Macaca fascicularis: one gene and its partners. The protein of the gene in region 3 interacts with the protein of the main gene of each other region in a pairwise test. Links are inferred from orthologs where the notes say so. Each region holds a gene or a part of one and is shown on either strand. Other genes may lie near its edges.

Region 1 (3,644 bases), on a different chromosome or scaffold from region 3:
GTCTTTTTATTCTCCCTCAAATACAAAAGGTATTTTTCCTCCCTGAGACATAGGACTTTCCGACTCCCCCAATTCTTCGATCTGTTTCATCGCTCAAATAGTTTGCTATCATCTTTATCGGCAATATTTGATGTTTTCTTTTCGGCTCCAAATGTTTATTTTCGTTTAGTCCATCCCGCTGTCTGAATCTCTTTCTTCTCCCTCAGTCTGTTTTCTTGTTTATCCCCCATTTTTGATCCTTTTGAATCGTCCCCAAATATTAGGCTTTTTCATCCTTTCCAAATATCTGACCTCTACTGTTCCCCTTAAACAGCTGATTCTTTTTCTCAAGTACCTGATCTTTTTGCTTCCTAATTTCTTTCCTGCCGCCTAAATATATGCCAAATATGTTTCTCCACAAATATTTAATTTTTTCTATTCTTACTAGTTTCTTCTAATCTTCCTGCCCTTCCTTTTCTCCCCCCAAATTTGGTGACAACCTCCTAGTCCTTCCCCATCCTTACCTATCTGCCTACCGCATGCTCTCTGCCCTCTCAGATTTTCCTCCAGTTCTGAGTGAAGTTTCCTGAGCTAGTTTGCCAGACCCCTGCTTCTCAGCTTTCCCTAGTCCCCAGCACTGACACTGCCTGATTCCACCCCCACTCACCCCTACCACCATAAACCTGGGCAGGATTAGTGAGTTCAGGATTACTGAGTGCTGTGTCTTCACTCCAAGTCCCACTGGGCTGGCCAGCCTGCCTAGGGAGGGCTGCGGGTTATGGTAAGGAGTCTGTGGGCCAGGTCGGACTTCGGTCGACTTGGGAGGTGCTCCCAATATCTGATTAAATATTTGCGCCCCCAGGGAAGAAATGATTCTGTTGCTACCCTGGCAGGAAAGCCTTGCTTTTACTTGAAACCGAACGGGTGAAAAGAGGGAGAATGCAGGCTGGTCTTGGGTCTGAGATGGCATATCCCAAAAGGGATTGGGAAGGACATTTGGGTCCCAGAGCCACCCCCCACCTCACCAGACAGGAGACCTTCTGGAAAAGGCAGAAGGCAAAGGGTCCTACTGACGGCTGGGGAGGGTGGAGAATATCTTGAGCTTTTAGAGAATCTGCTTGTGAGATGGGACCACTGCTCCAGGAAGTTTTGAGAGCCCCAAACCCAGGCACCTTTCTGGCTTCTCCGATGCAGCCAGGCAGGACCTGCCTTTCCCTTTCGTTTTCGGGGTAAAGCCAGCAGCTCCCGAAGTCCCCAGCGGCAGGGAATCCACTGCCCAGTCTCTGGCCCAGGGTATCCTGTTAACATCCAAGTGGGTCCTGGGCCCCACAGGGCATGGGGGAGTCCCCTGAGGGCACAGGTCTTTGGGCTGGGGCTGCCTTAGTCCGAGGATCAGGTAGGATGACGGTCAGAGGGGTTGGAGGTCCATGGCGGCCTGGAGGCCTGGCAGACGCTAGGTGGGCCAGGGCCTAAGGTGGGGATCGCCGGTGGTGGGAGGGACCAGGTCTGAATGGTGGGAGAGTTAAGGTCTGCTTGTGGGTCTAAGCTTTGGAGGGCTGCAGCAGAGGCGGCCCGGGAGCCCTCTGCGCGGGTGCTCTTAGGCGCACCCCTTGCTCACCCGCACGCGCGGCTCGGTGAGGTTGGTCCACACGGCGATCTCCTCCCTCATGCTCATGTCGGGGTAGCGGTTCCTCTGGAACGTGGCCTCTAGCTCTTGCAACTGCTGGCTTGTGAAGTGCGTACGTTGCCGCCGCTGCTTCTTCTTCTTGGCTGGGTCGTCTGCGCTGCCGCAGCCCGTGCCTCCCGTGCCACTGTCCTCAGGCCCCTTGGATTCCCCGCCGCGCTCCTTCTCTGCAGTAGGCAGGACGTGGAGCAGGTCACCTGGGCTTACGCCCCGTTGCACCCCGTCCCGGCTCCACCGAAGCGCCCGCCAAGCCACCAGCGCGGGCTTCCCTCCTTCCCTCCCTCCAGGGTCCCTGGGAACTGTCCCCACTGGAAAGCGCCCGCCGGGTGCTGGTCGTCAGTAGGCACCTCTAGTCTGGTGTACCGCGGAGAAGAGCCCAAGAATCGGAGCCCTAGCCGCGGGCCTGGGTTCCTGGCTGGGCAGGGCCTGCACCCTTAGCTCGGCTCAGACTGCCCTGCTGCTGATGTTCGGAGCAAATGTATGCTTTGTTTTGTTTGTTTTGCGACCTCTTAGGGGGTCTAAATCTGAGGGGGGTCTCTGCTTTTCTGAACTAGGAGCAGATCTTTCCAGCCTAAACTCCTCCACTTTTTTCTCCTCAGGGATGTGTGGGAGCCCCACTGGGCAGGCACAACACAGCCGGTTCTCGGCCTTGCTTCCAGGCCTCCAGTCCCAAAGCCTAGAAAACCCCACCAACTGCAGCCCAGACAGACAGACTCTGTCTAGGTGACCTCGGGCTTCAGTCTGTCTCTCTTTGAAGCTACACAAAACACACGCAGCCATAGAAACATTGATACATAAAGAAAAAGAATTTAAAAACAAAACACAGAAGCCCAGAAAAGCTCACAGCTCTATGCCTAAAGACACAGAAAGGGCCACAAATTCTCAAAATCAGACAGGAAGAAACACAGAGCAAATGTAAATTAAGAAGCCAGAAAACTCGGTACAAACACACCCCTAACTAAATACAGACCTGTAAGTGTATAAACTCCAGGCTGACAGAAGCATTTATTTCTTTGGGATTTAAAAAAATAATGTACCGTTGTAAATAGATTTTTAACTCCCTCCCAATAAGGCCCTTACAGAGATAATTTTTAAATCCCAGAGAAACACATTATAGTTAGATAATTTAAATTCCCCAAATAACACCACTGTAAATGGATTTTGAGAAAATTCCGGAGAAACGCGCCATTTTGGATTGACTTTTTAAAATCTCCGGAAGAATAATGTTGCATGTAGATATTTTAAATTCCAGAGACCTACACTTAGTATATTAATTATTTCAAAATCGAAAGATAAAGTTAAAATTGTTAATTCATCCTCATAGATTTGGTTCAAAAAATCAATCTATGATTATATATCTCTCTAGGTTTTAAAAATAAAACCAACCAAAGACCGCACTTAAAACTTTTGAAAACAAAAGTATAGTTCAGCGTTGATTGTGTTTTAACCAAGCAAACAGAACCTCTCAGAAAAATCACTTAGGGATGCAAAAGAGAAACAAACAGATTAAGAAAGTGTAAAGAAACACTCAGCTGTGTATTAAGAAATGAACAGAAGAAACGAGCAGAAGAGGCGCCCATGCCGGGGAGCTCTGAGCCCCTCGGGGACCCAGGCGGCTGCGCTGGGCAGCGGATTCGCTACCCTACTGCCCGCGCCGGCCACCCCCGGGCCCAGTTCGCTGCTGGAAAAAAGCTCCAGCTCGTACAAAAAGGCAGCGCGGAGGGAGACGCGCCGGAGCCGGGGCGGGGGCCAGGGCCGGGCAGCTCCGGGCTTCGGCTGCACACGTGGGCCGGATCCCTCGATCGGGGTTCGGGCTGGCCTTGCTGGGAGTCCGGCCGCGCCTCTTGGCCCGCTCGCCCTCACCGTCTTCTGTGTCTTCCTTCTACTTGACCCCCTCTCCCCGTTTACCCTTCCCGCCCGCCCCTTCTCTTTGGCCTCTCTCTTTCATTCTGTCGCCTACTGTCACGGTGTTAGCCTCTCT
Region 2 (4,315 bases), on a different chromosome or scaffold from region 3:
ACACAAAATTCATTGAAGAACAAATGCAAGCATTATCCACCTTTTACTCTACCTCTTCCTTCCTAGTACTGCTCTTTACCTGGCTGTGTAACCCCTCCCCACTACAGGGCTCTAGTGGGTACACAGTCCACACCACCAGACCCTAGTCCCATACTCAGAGACCGTCCTTCACCTTACAACAGTCCCCATTCAACAAGGCCTCATCCTCCAAAAGGACTTCAGTCCTTTCCTTTCTTTTTCTCTAATAATCACTGCAGGACCCAGACACGGTGGGCTGCCCTGTGAAGCAGATTCTACAGATTCTGGCTGGCTGACAAGTGGTGAGTGGAGGTAAACGGGATGGGAGGTATTAAAACGCCATTATTTTTCCCCATTGCAACTGGAATAAATAGTCCAAACTCTCTACTGATTGTTACCCAGATGACAAAAACAAAACTCTTTTTTTATTGAGACAGAGTCTTACTCTGTCGTCCAGGTTGGAGTGCAGGGGCACTTGAACCCAGGCGCCTCCTGGGTTCAAATGATTCTCCTGCCTCAGCTTCCCAAGTAGCTGGGACCATAGACATGCACCATCACGTCCGGCAAATTATCATATTTTTAGTAGAGATGGGGTTTTGCCATGTTGGCCAGGCTGGTCTCGAACTCTTGACCTCAGGTGATCTGCCTACCTTGGCCTCCCAAAGTGCAAGGATTACAGGCATCAGTCACTGTGCCTGGCTGAAAAAACAAAACTCTTTACTGAGACTCGTAGGCCCCATGTAATTGGGTTCTAGCCTCCCTTTATTATCACTATTTTTTTGTTGTTGTTCAGATAGAATCTTGTTCTGTCACCCAGGCTGGAGTGCAGTGGTGTGATCTCGGCTCACTGCAGCCTCCGCCTCCCAGGTTCCAGTGATTCTCCTGCCTCAGCCTCCCAGGTAGTTGGGATTATAGGCGTGCACCACTATACCTGGCTAATTTTTGTATTTTTAGTAGAGACTGGGTTTCACCATGTTGGCCAGGTTGGTCTTGAACCCCTGACCTCGTGATCCACCCGCCTCGGCCTCTCAAAGTGTTGGGATTACAGGCGTGAGCTACCGTACCTGGCCTCCCTTTAAACTCAACTCTTCCCCTCCCTGGCTAGGAACTTTCTCTTCCAAGCCAGGCTCCGCTTTTTATATCCTCTTTCCCACCTCAGGGCCTCTGAAGCTGCTGTCCTCTCCACAGATGTTCTTCTCCACCTGGCTTCCTATAGCATGCAACCCCTATCCCTACAGCTTTTATTGCCATTTATTTTATTTTTTTCTTTTCTCAGATTGGTGCAGGGAGGTCTCACTATGTTGCCCAGGCTGGTCTCAAACTCCTGGACTCAAGTGATCCTCCCACTGGTAGGCAGCTGGGATTACCTACCCATGCCTGGCTTATACTTTTTTGCTTTTGTTTGAGATATTGTCTAGCTCTGTCACCCAGGCTGGAGTGCAATGGCTTGATTCGGCTCACTGCTGCCTCAGCCTCCTAAGTAGCTGGGACTACAGGCTTGTGTCACACCTAACTAATTTTTTAGTTTTATTTTTGGTAGAGACGAGGTCTTACTACATGGTTCAGGTTGGTCTCGAACTCCTGAGCTCAAGCAATCCTCCTGCCTCAGCCTCCTAAAGTGCTGTGATTACAGATGTGAGCCAATCCACCCAGTCCGTATTTTTTGCTATTTACTTTCCCTCCCCTAAATCATGAACTCGAGAGCAGGGACTGTCAACACCCGGTTCCCTATGCAGTTACTGTAGGGATTCAATAAAAATTTGCTGAATTCATTAAAAAGAAAATAGGTCTTCCATCTCCACCCACTCCACTAACCCTTTTCCCAAAAGTTCTGGATTGTTCCCACACCAAGTTACCCCAATTCAATTCTTCAATCTCCTGCAGAGACATTCCTGAGTCCCATTCCCCACCACTCACTCTCCATCATCTGTCCTGGAAACTTCCCACCCACAAGCCGGGCTCGGTGGCTGGGGCCTGTAATCCCAGCACTTTGGGAGGCCGAGGCGGAATAACTGCTTGAGCCCAGGAGTTCAAGCAACTATAGTGAGACCCCCTGTCTCTACAAAATATACAAAAAAATTAGTCGGGCGTGGTGGCACGTGCACCTGTGGTCCCAGCTACTCAGGAGGCTGAGGCAGGAGGATCAACTGAGCCGGGGAGGTGGAGGCTGCAGTGAGCCATGATCACGCCACTGCACTCTAGCCTGGGCGACAGAGCGAGACGGTGTCAAACAACAACAAAAAACTTCTCACCTGCAGAAGTCCCATTAACGTACCCATTTAGTCATTCAATCGTCAAAAGTACCCTACGTGCCCATTTCTCAGCCCTACTCCCTAAACTCAACATTCTCACCCCAAGATGAACGGTTGAAAATCCTTCACGCCACTGCTCAGCCCCATAAGGCCCGTCCAGCCCGTTCCCTTTGAACCCCATATATCCCCTCGCCCTCGGGACCCCCCTCCAGCCCTCCTCAAGCGTCTCTCGTCAGTCTGCCCTCCCCGCCCTGTCCCCTCTGTCCGCCACCCTCACTGCCACGACCCTGCGTGGCCCCGCCGAGCCCGCGGGCAGCACCTGGCCTGCGCCTCGTCCAGGCTTTGGTCGGTGACGGCCATGATCTGCTGCAGGACGTCGCTCGTGTCGGGCCGCCGCGGGCGGCGCGGGGCGGGGGGCGATGGCGCGGGGCGCTGCGTGGCGGCCATGAGCGGCAGGGCCAGGCGGGCGCGGTGAAGGAGCCGTCGAGCCTGGAGCACTAGCACTCGAGCCGCAGCCAACCGCCGCTGCCTGAGCTCCACGCCAGCCAGCGCTCGCGCCTAAGCCACGCCCACCACCGCTGCCGCCAGCCAACCCGTGTATTGCACTGCCTACAGACACGCCCCTTCATCGCCGTCAGCCAACCGGCGCCACGCACCGCCCCGGGAGACGCCCCGAACTTCCCTCACCCCGGGCTTGGACTCGGTTAGCGGTTGCCGAGGCAACGGCACTTCTCACAAGCGCCCTCCTCCAGCCTGAGACAGGGCAGCGCTGGCTCCGCTCCAGCCAGAGGCCCCCATCCCTCACAACTCCCGCGGTGCACGCCTCCTTCAGCCCCACTCATCTCCTCAGAGTTCCTGCTCCTCCTCAGAGCCCCCTGCTCCTCCTCAAAGCCCTCGGTCCTCAGAGACCCTCACTCCCCGGAGCACCCCAACTCTTCCTTCAAGCCACCCTCTCCTCCTCAGAACCCCACACCTCTTATAGCTTGATCGACAGCCCCCATTCATTTCCAGAAGCCCCAAGCCCCAGACCCCTGCTCAGTCCCTCTAATGCTCCCTGCAGCCTCAGCCCCATCAGGTGGGCCACTGGGGCCCCTGGCTCTTCCTCTAGAGCTTTCCATGCCCCCTTCACCCGGCCAAGGGGGAGCACAGGTGTGCGTGGTTGATGGCAACAAGAAGGTCAGAACGCAGCGCTTTTCTCCACTGAAGAAATCAATTCCAGTCACCTTTCAAGGTCCAGCTAAAGAGTGACCTCGCTTGTTTACGCAGTCTACAGTTCTGGGCATAGAAAATGCTACCACGTGGTTACCGAATGAAGGAAGGAGGTTTACTGAGAGCCTCCCCTGCAGTGCGCCCCAAATCAGAGCGAATCCTCACATCTTTGTTTCTAGCCCTTAGGACACAGCATCAGAGGTTCCTACTGCACAAGAAAAGGAACTGGGCGGTGGCTCACGCCTGTAATCTAGCACTTTGGATGGCGGAGGCGGGAGGATCACTTGAGCATGGGAGTTTGAGATCAGTTTGGGCAACATAGTGAGACCCTGTGGTGGTGCACGCCTGTGGTCCCAGCTACTTGGGACTTGAGAGGCTGCAGTGAAAGGATCACTTGGGCCCGCGAATTTGAGGCTGCAGTGAGCCATGATTGTACCACTGCACTCCAGCCTGGTTGACAGAGACCAGGTATCAAAAAAAAAAAAAAAAGGAATGGACTGGACATGAATCGCTTCTCCAAAGTCACAGAACCTCCTGGAGCCTATTTGCTATGAGGACAGGCTCCAGATGTGGGCTCAGTAAAAGGTCCTTAGCCTGCTGGCTGGGAACCCTTCCAGGGCTGGGCCCATGTTCTCTCCATTGCTGCTGGGGAGGAAATTCAAACACCATCTGGAATGGCTGGATTGGAGAGCGTCCGGAGACTCCAAAGGGGACGGTAGGGAGTGAAAATGAAAGACATGGACTGAGTGTCTGGACAATAGGGAAAGCTCTGTGATGAAGGAAACCACCGACACTTGGCTGCAATGACAGGAAGTAATAGATTGCATGGGAGCCAC
Region 3 (3,644 bases):
CTATTACCCCAGAATGCACACTGAAGACCCAGTGCATGGGTCACCTAGGGGAAGAAGTGGTTTGCTGAACTCTCTCATGAATGAAAAAGGAGGATATCCTGAATTCTAGGGATCATCTCAAAGGAAGCCTCAAACTGCAAAGCAGAGATATCACAAGTGCTTCATAAGGTTACAAAAACTTTGTAGACTTAAAAAAAAAAATCACCCCCTATCACTGCTCTGTAAAACCAAGGCTATGGACTAGCCTCTGAAGAAGAGCAGATGTTATCTCCTCCAAATAGGCTTGAGGTAGGGAGCCCCAAGGAATGCACAGATGCAGGCTTAAGCTGCTCTGCCAGCTTACGGAGGAGTAGAGAGCAGACTGAGGTCCTGGGAGGTGAGGAAAGGCAGGATGATGACTACCATGTAAAGAAGCAGCTCTGTGGGATGACAGTGGCCCAGGTGTGGTCTAAAGCCAAGAGGCTAACTGAAACTGGGTTGGGGAGTTAAGCAAAGAGGCCACGATGCCCATGGCTTCCTTTTCTCCTGGAGAAATCCTGGAGGGAGTTCTGGGAATAGCAACCAAAGCAGTCTTTGTAAAGAACTTTACAATATGCAAACTACCTTCACTTAAGACCACATCTGCTATCCAGCACAGTTCTATGAGTTGAGTAAGCCAGACATTTCAATGTTCTCAGTTTTTAATGGGAAGCTGAGGCTTGCCCCAGATCAAGCAGCTTCTAAGTGGTCACCCCAAAACCTGTGCCCAAGCTTATCACAAGACTTATCACACTGCTTTGTGACAATCTGAGCAACTTGAATTTCCTCTGCACTGGGAGCAACTTGAAGGCCAGAACTACTACATGTGGAGGATGTCATGAGCATCCTTAGTGCTCACAGGGGACAGTAAATGTTGAAGTAGAAGGCCCTACAGAGCTGGAGGTTGAACAGGGGCCCATAATAACATCACTTAAGGGTTGAAGGATATAACGTCAATGTCCCTCATGAGGCTGAGGAATCTCAATGACATCACCCTAATTGGGCTGGGGACAAGGACAACATCACACACAGAGTTGAGTGAGATAATGACATTGCTACCTACAGAGTGAGGCAATTATAGGTCATTCATGGAGTCAGAGGACCAAATATATCACCCCCACGGGGCAGGGAGAACAATGACAACATTACCCACAGAATTGAAGAGTGACAATGACATTCCCACAGGTGGGGGTGGGGGGATGGCAAAGACAATGTCACCCACGGGGTTGGGTCCCTGTGGCACTGGCAGCTTCCGAAGCTCAGGGCCTTCGTGATCATCCTCATGATGACTGATGTCCAATGTGGTGAAGAGGTTGGAGAGAAGCCCCAAGATGTGAACAATGGCCAGCTTGTTGGAGGGATTGGGCTGCAGGGAGAAGCAAACCAAGCTCCAGATCTCCTAGCCCCAGTTTGGTCCCCAGATCACTGAGCCCCAGCTCTAAGGGCCAGCTCCACCTTCACCCCTCATCAGCCACAGCGTACCAGTACTGCTCCCGGCCCCCAGAGCTCACTCACTATCTCCTCTGCCAGCTTCTCCAGTTGCTGGATATAGGGTGAGATAAGCGAGTGCAGGTTCTTAAGAATCTCCTCCACTTGAAGAGCTGACAGCAGGAAGCCCAGCGCCTGCATCAGCCACATGCACTGGCTTGTCTGTGGGGCAGAACATGGATGGTCAGTCCTGGCCACATCTAGTTGTGGGGTAAGAAGGAAAACGGGCCTCTTGGGAGAAGAAAAACACAGAGAATAAGGGGTAAGAGGAAGGGGAAGGCCAAAAAACAGGATTTCAGGGATAAGAGATTCCCACAAGACCCCCAAGGAGACCCCTAGAAACTTCTGAGCCGCACCTTGTGGATCTGTTTCATCAGCACATCCTGCGGGGGAGAAAGAAGGAATGTAGTATCAGCACAGTGCAGAGTGTGCTCTGAAGCTCAGTACCATCCAGGGCCCCTGCATACCTGGGACACGGCCACAATGTTGGCAGCATAGGGAGGCAGGTCATACTTGCACTCTCGGCAGATCTTCTTGAGGGTAGACACAGAAGAGACAGAGAGCTCAGGATTGCCTAGGGCATGCAGTACCAGGGGCAGAACACTGTTGATCATGACGGGGTGGTCAGCCAGCCATTCAGACAGAGCTCCTGGAGGAAGGAGGGAGACAGAAGGATCTTTGAGGCAGGCCAGACTGGCTTTGTACCATGTCTCTGAGGCAAGCAGAGTTCCTGGCAGGGTCAAGTTGCAGCCCTAGCACAGAGCACTGCTCCATTCAGAGGACATATGCATGTGCATGCTCAAACATGAGCCTTACAGCTGAGAAGCAGGGAGAGGTTACTCAACAGAAGCCCAGTACTGCTGTTTCACTGACAGTAAACTAGCCTCACTGAATTCAGCTCAGTGTGCCATCAGATGGACCCCCTAGACCTGCCAGGACAGTCAGTTTGTTACAACACTGATTGTGTGTAGGCACATGGCTCTCCCATTCTGGATAGAATCCAGCATGCTGGCTGTGGCCGGGGTGGGGTGCTGTGGCTCTGGGAATATGGTCATGGGTGTGTGCCAGGTCTCACCAATGGTGAACATGACAGTGTCTGCCAGCTGCACGTTGCTGATGCTGATCCGTGGGATGAGGCCAATGAGCCCAGGCACCACATCAGAATAGTTGACGTCAATGGTCTCTGCGATGGATTGGAAGCCGTAGAGGAGGGCCTCTGTGTGCTGGGGAAAGAGGGTGCCACTGGCTTGGATGAGGAGGAGGGTGTGACAGGTCTGGGAGGGCTGAGGGAATCAGGCTTGGGAGGTACCTGCCAGGAGTAGGGCTCCTCTGAGCTGGTGAGCAAACGACCCAGCTTGTCATAGAGGTTGCTGAGCAGCTCGGCCCCCAACATCTCATAGACATACATGAGCGTGTCTGAGATGTCCACCCTGAGAAGCAGATGAAGGCCTTTTATACTGCCTGGATCCTGACCCTGGATCCTGCCCCCAAGCCCAGGAGCCTACCCCAGTACCCCCACAACTCTGCAACAATGCCTAGAAAACAGAGAAAGGAGCCCCAAAATTCAGAAAGCCTGGCCTTGGGCCCCTTCCCTCATTGCCTTCATTATTTCTGGACTCCATTTTAGAGGAGCTGGCCTGCTACCATCACCTGTAAATTCGGAACTGCTCCTTCTCGTCTGAGGACCAGAATCCATATTCCTCATCAGAAGGGAACTGGGCCTTGTGCAGAAGCACATCCACCAGCTGGAAGTAGACTGGCCGGTACACCTGCTGGTATACAGCCTGCTTCTCTGCCTCAAAGGATAGAATATCATCCTGAGAGAGCCAGGGAAGACAATTAGCCACCTCACCAGCAGCCATAGAAGCCCATGATCCACCTTCTTCCACCACAGCCCAGTCCTACTGGAGGTCACACAGACACACCTGCAGCGTGTACCAGAAGGTGAGGGTTAGGGAGCTGGTGGTCTCATTGACAGGATAGTGGCCAGGGATGCCTGTGCAGAACATAATCATGTTGACAAGTGCCAGGAAACTCTGCCAGTGCTCTACTTGGTCCAGCAAGGCCCTGGGGAGGAGGAGACACAGTCAGGTCATTCTACCTCTCCAGGGACTTCCATAACCCCACCTCTTAGAGGG

Evidence for each region.
Region 1: the proteins of IPO13 (region 3) and PITX1 interact in binary tests that used the Homo sapiens proteins (3 or more experiments, as listed by UniProt). The link is inferred for Macaca fascicularis from reciprocal best matches to the Homo sapiens genes IPO13 and PITX1.
Region 2: the proteins of IPO13 (region 3) and PBX4 interact in binary tests that used the Homo sapiens proteins (3 or more experiments, as listed by UniProt). The link is inferred for Macaca fascicularis from reciprocal best matches to the Homo sapiens genes IPO13 and PBX4.

What each region holds. Positions count from the first base shown.
Region 1 is NC_088380.1:141,568,730-141,572,373, forward strand, and holds part of PITX1 (pituitary homeobox 1), read right to left. Parts: intron 1,831-3,644; coding exon 1,598-1,830; exon of another isoform or gene 1,152-1,597; intron 1-1,151. UniProt on the Homo sapiens protein: Sequence-specific transcription factor that binds gene promoters and activates their transcription. May play a role in the development of anterior structures, and in particular, the brain and facies and in specifying the identity or structure of hindlimb.
Region 2 is NC_088393.1:20,055,192-20,059,506, forward strand, and holds the start of PBX4 (pre-B-cell leukemia transcription factor 4), read right to left. Parts: upstream 2,836-4,315; 5' UTR 2,718-2,835; coding exon 2,590-2,717; intron 1-2,589.
Region 3 is NC_088375.1:190,801,733-190,805,376, forward strand, and holds part of IPO13 (importin-13), read right to left. Parts: intron 3,574-3,644; coding exon 3,432-3,573; intron 3,324-3,431; coding exon 3,157-3,323; intron 2,937-3,156; coding exon 2,816-2,936; intron 2,730-2,815; coding exon 2,582-2,729; intron 2,156-2,581; coding exon 1,974-2,155; intron 1,890-1,973; coding exon 1,863-1,889; intron 1,669-1,862; coding exon 1,534-1,668; intron 1,385-1,533; coding exon 1,241-1,384; intron 1-1,240. UniProt on the Homo sapiens protein: Functions in nuclear protein import as nuclear transport receptor. Serves as receptor for nuclear localization signals (NLS) in cargo substrates.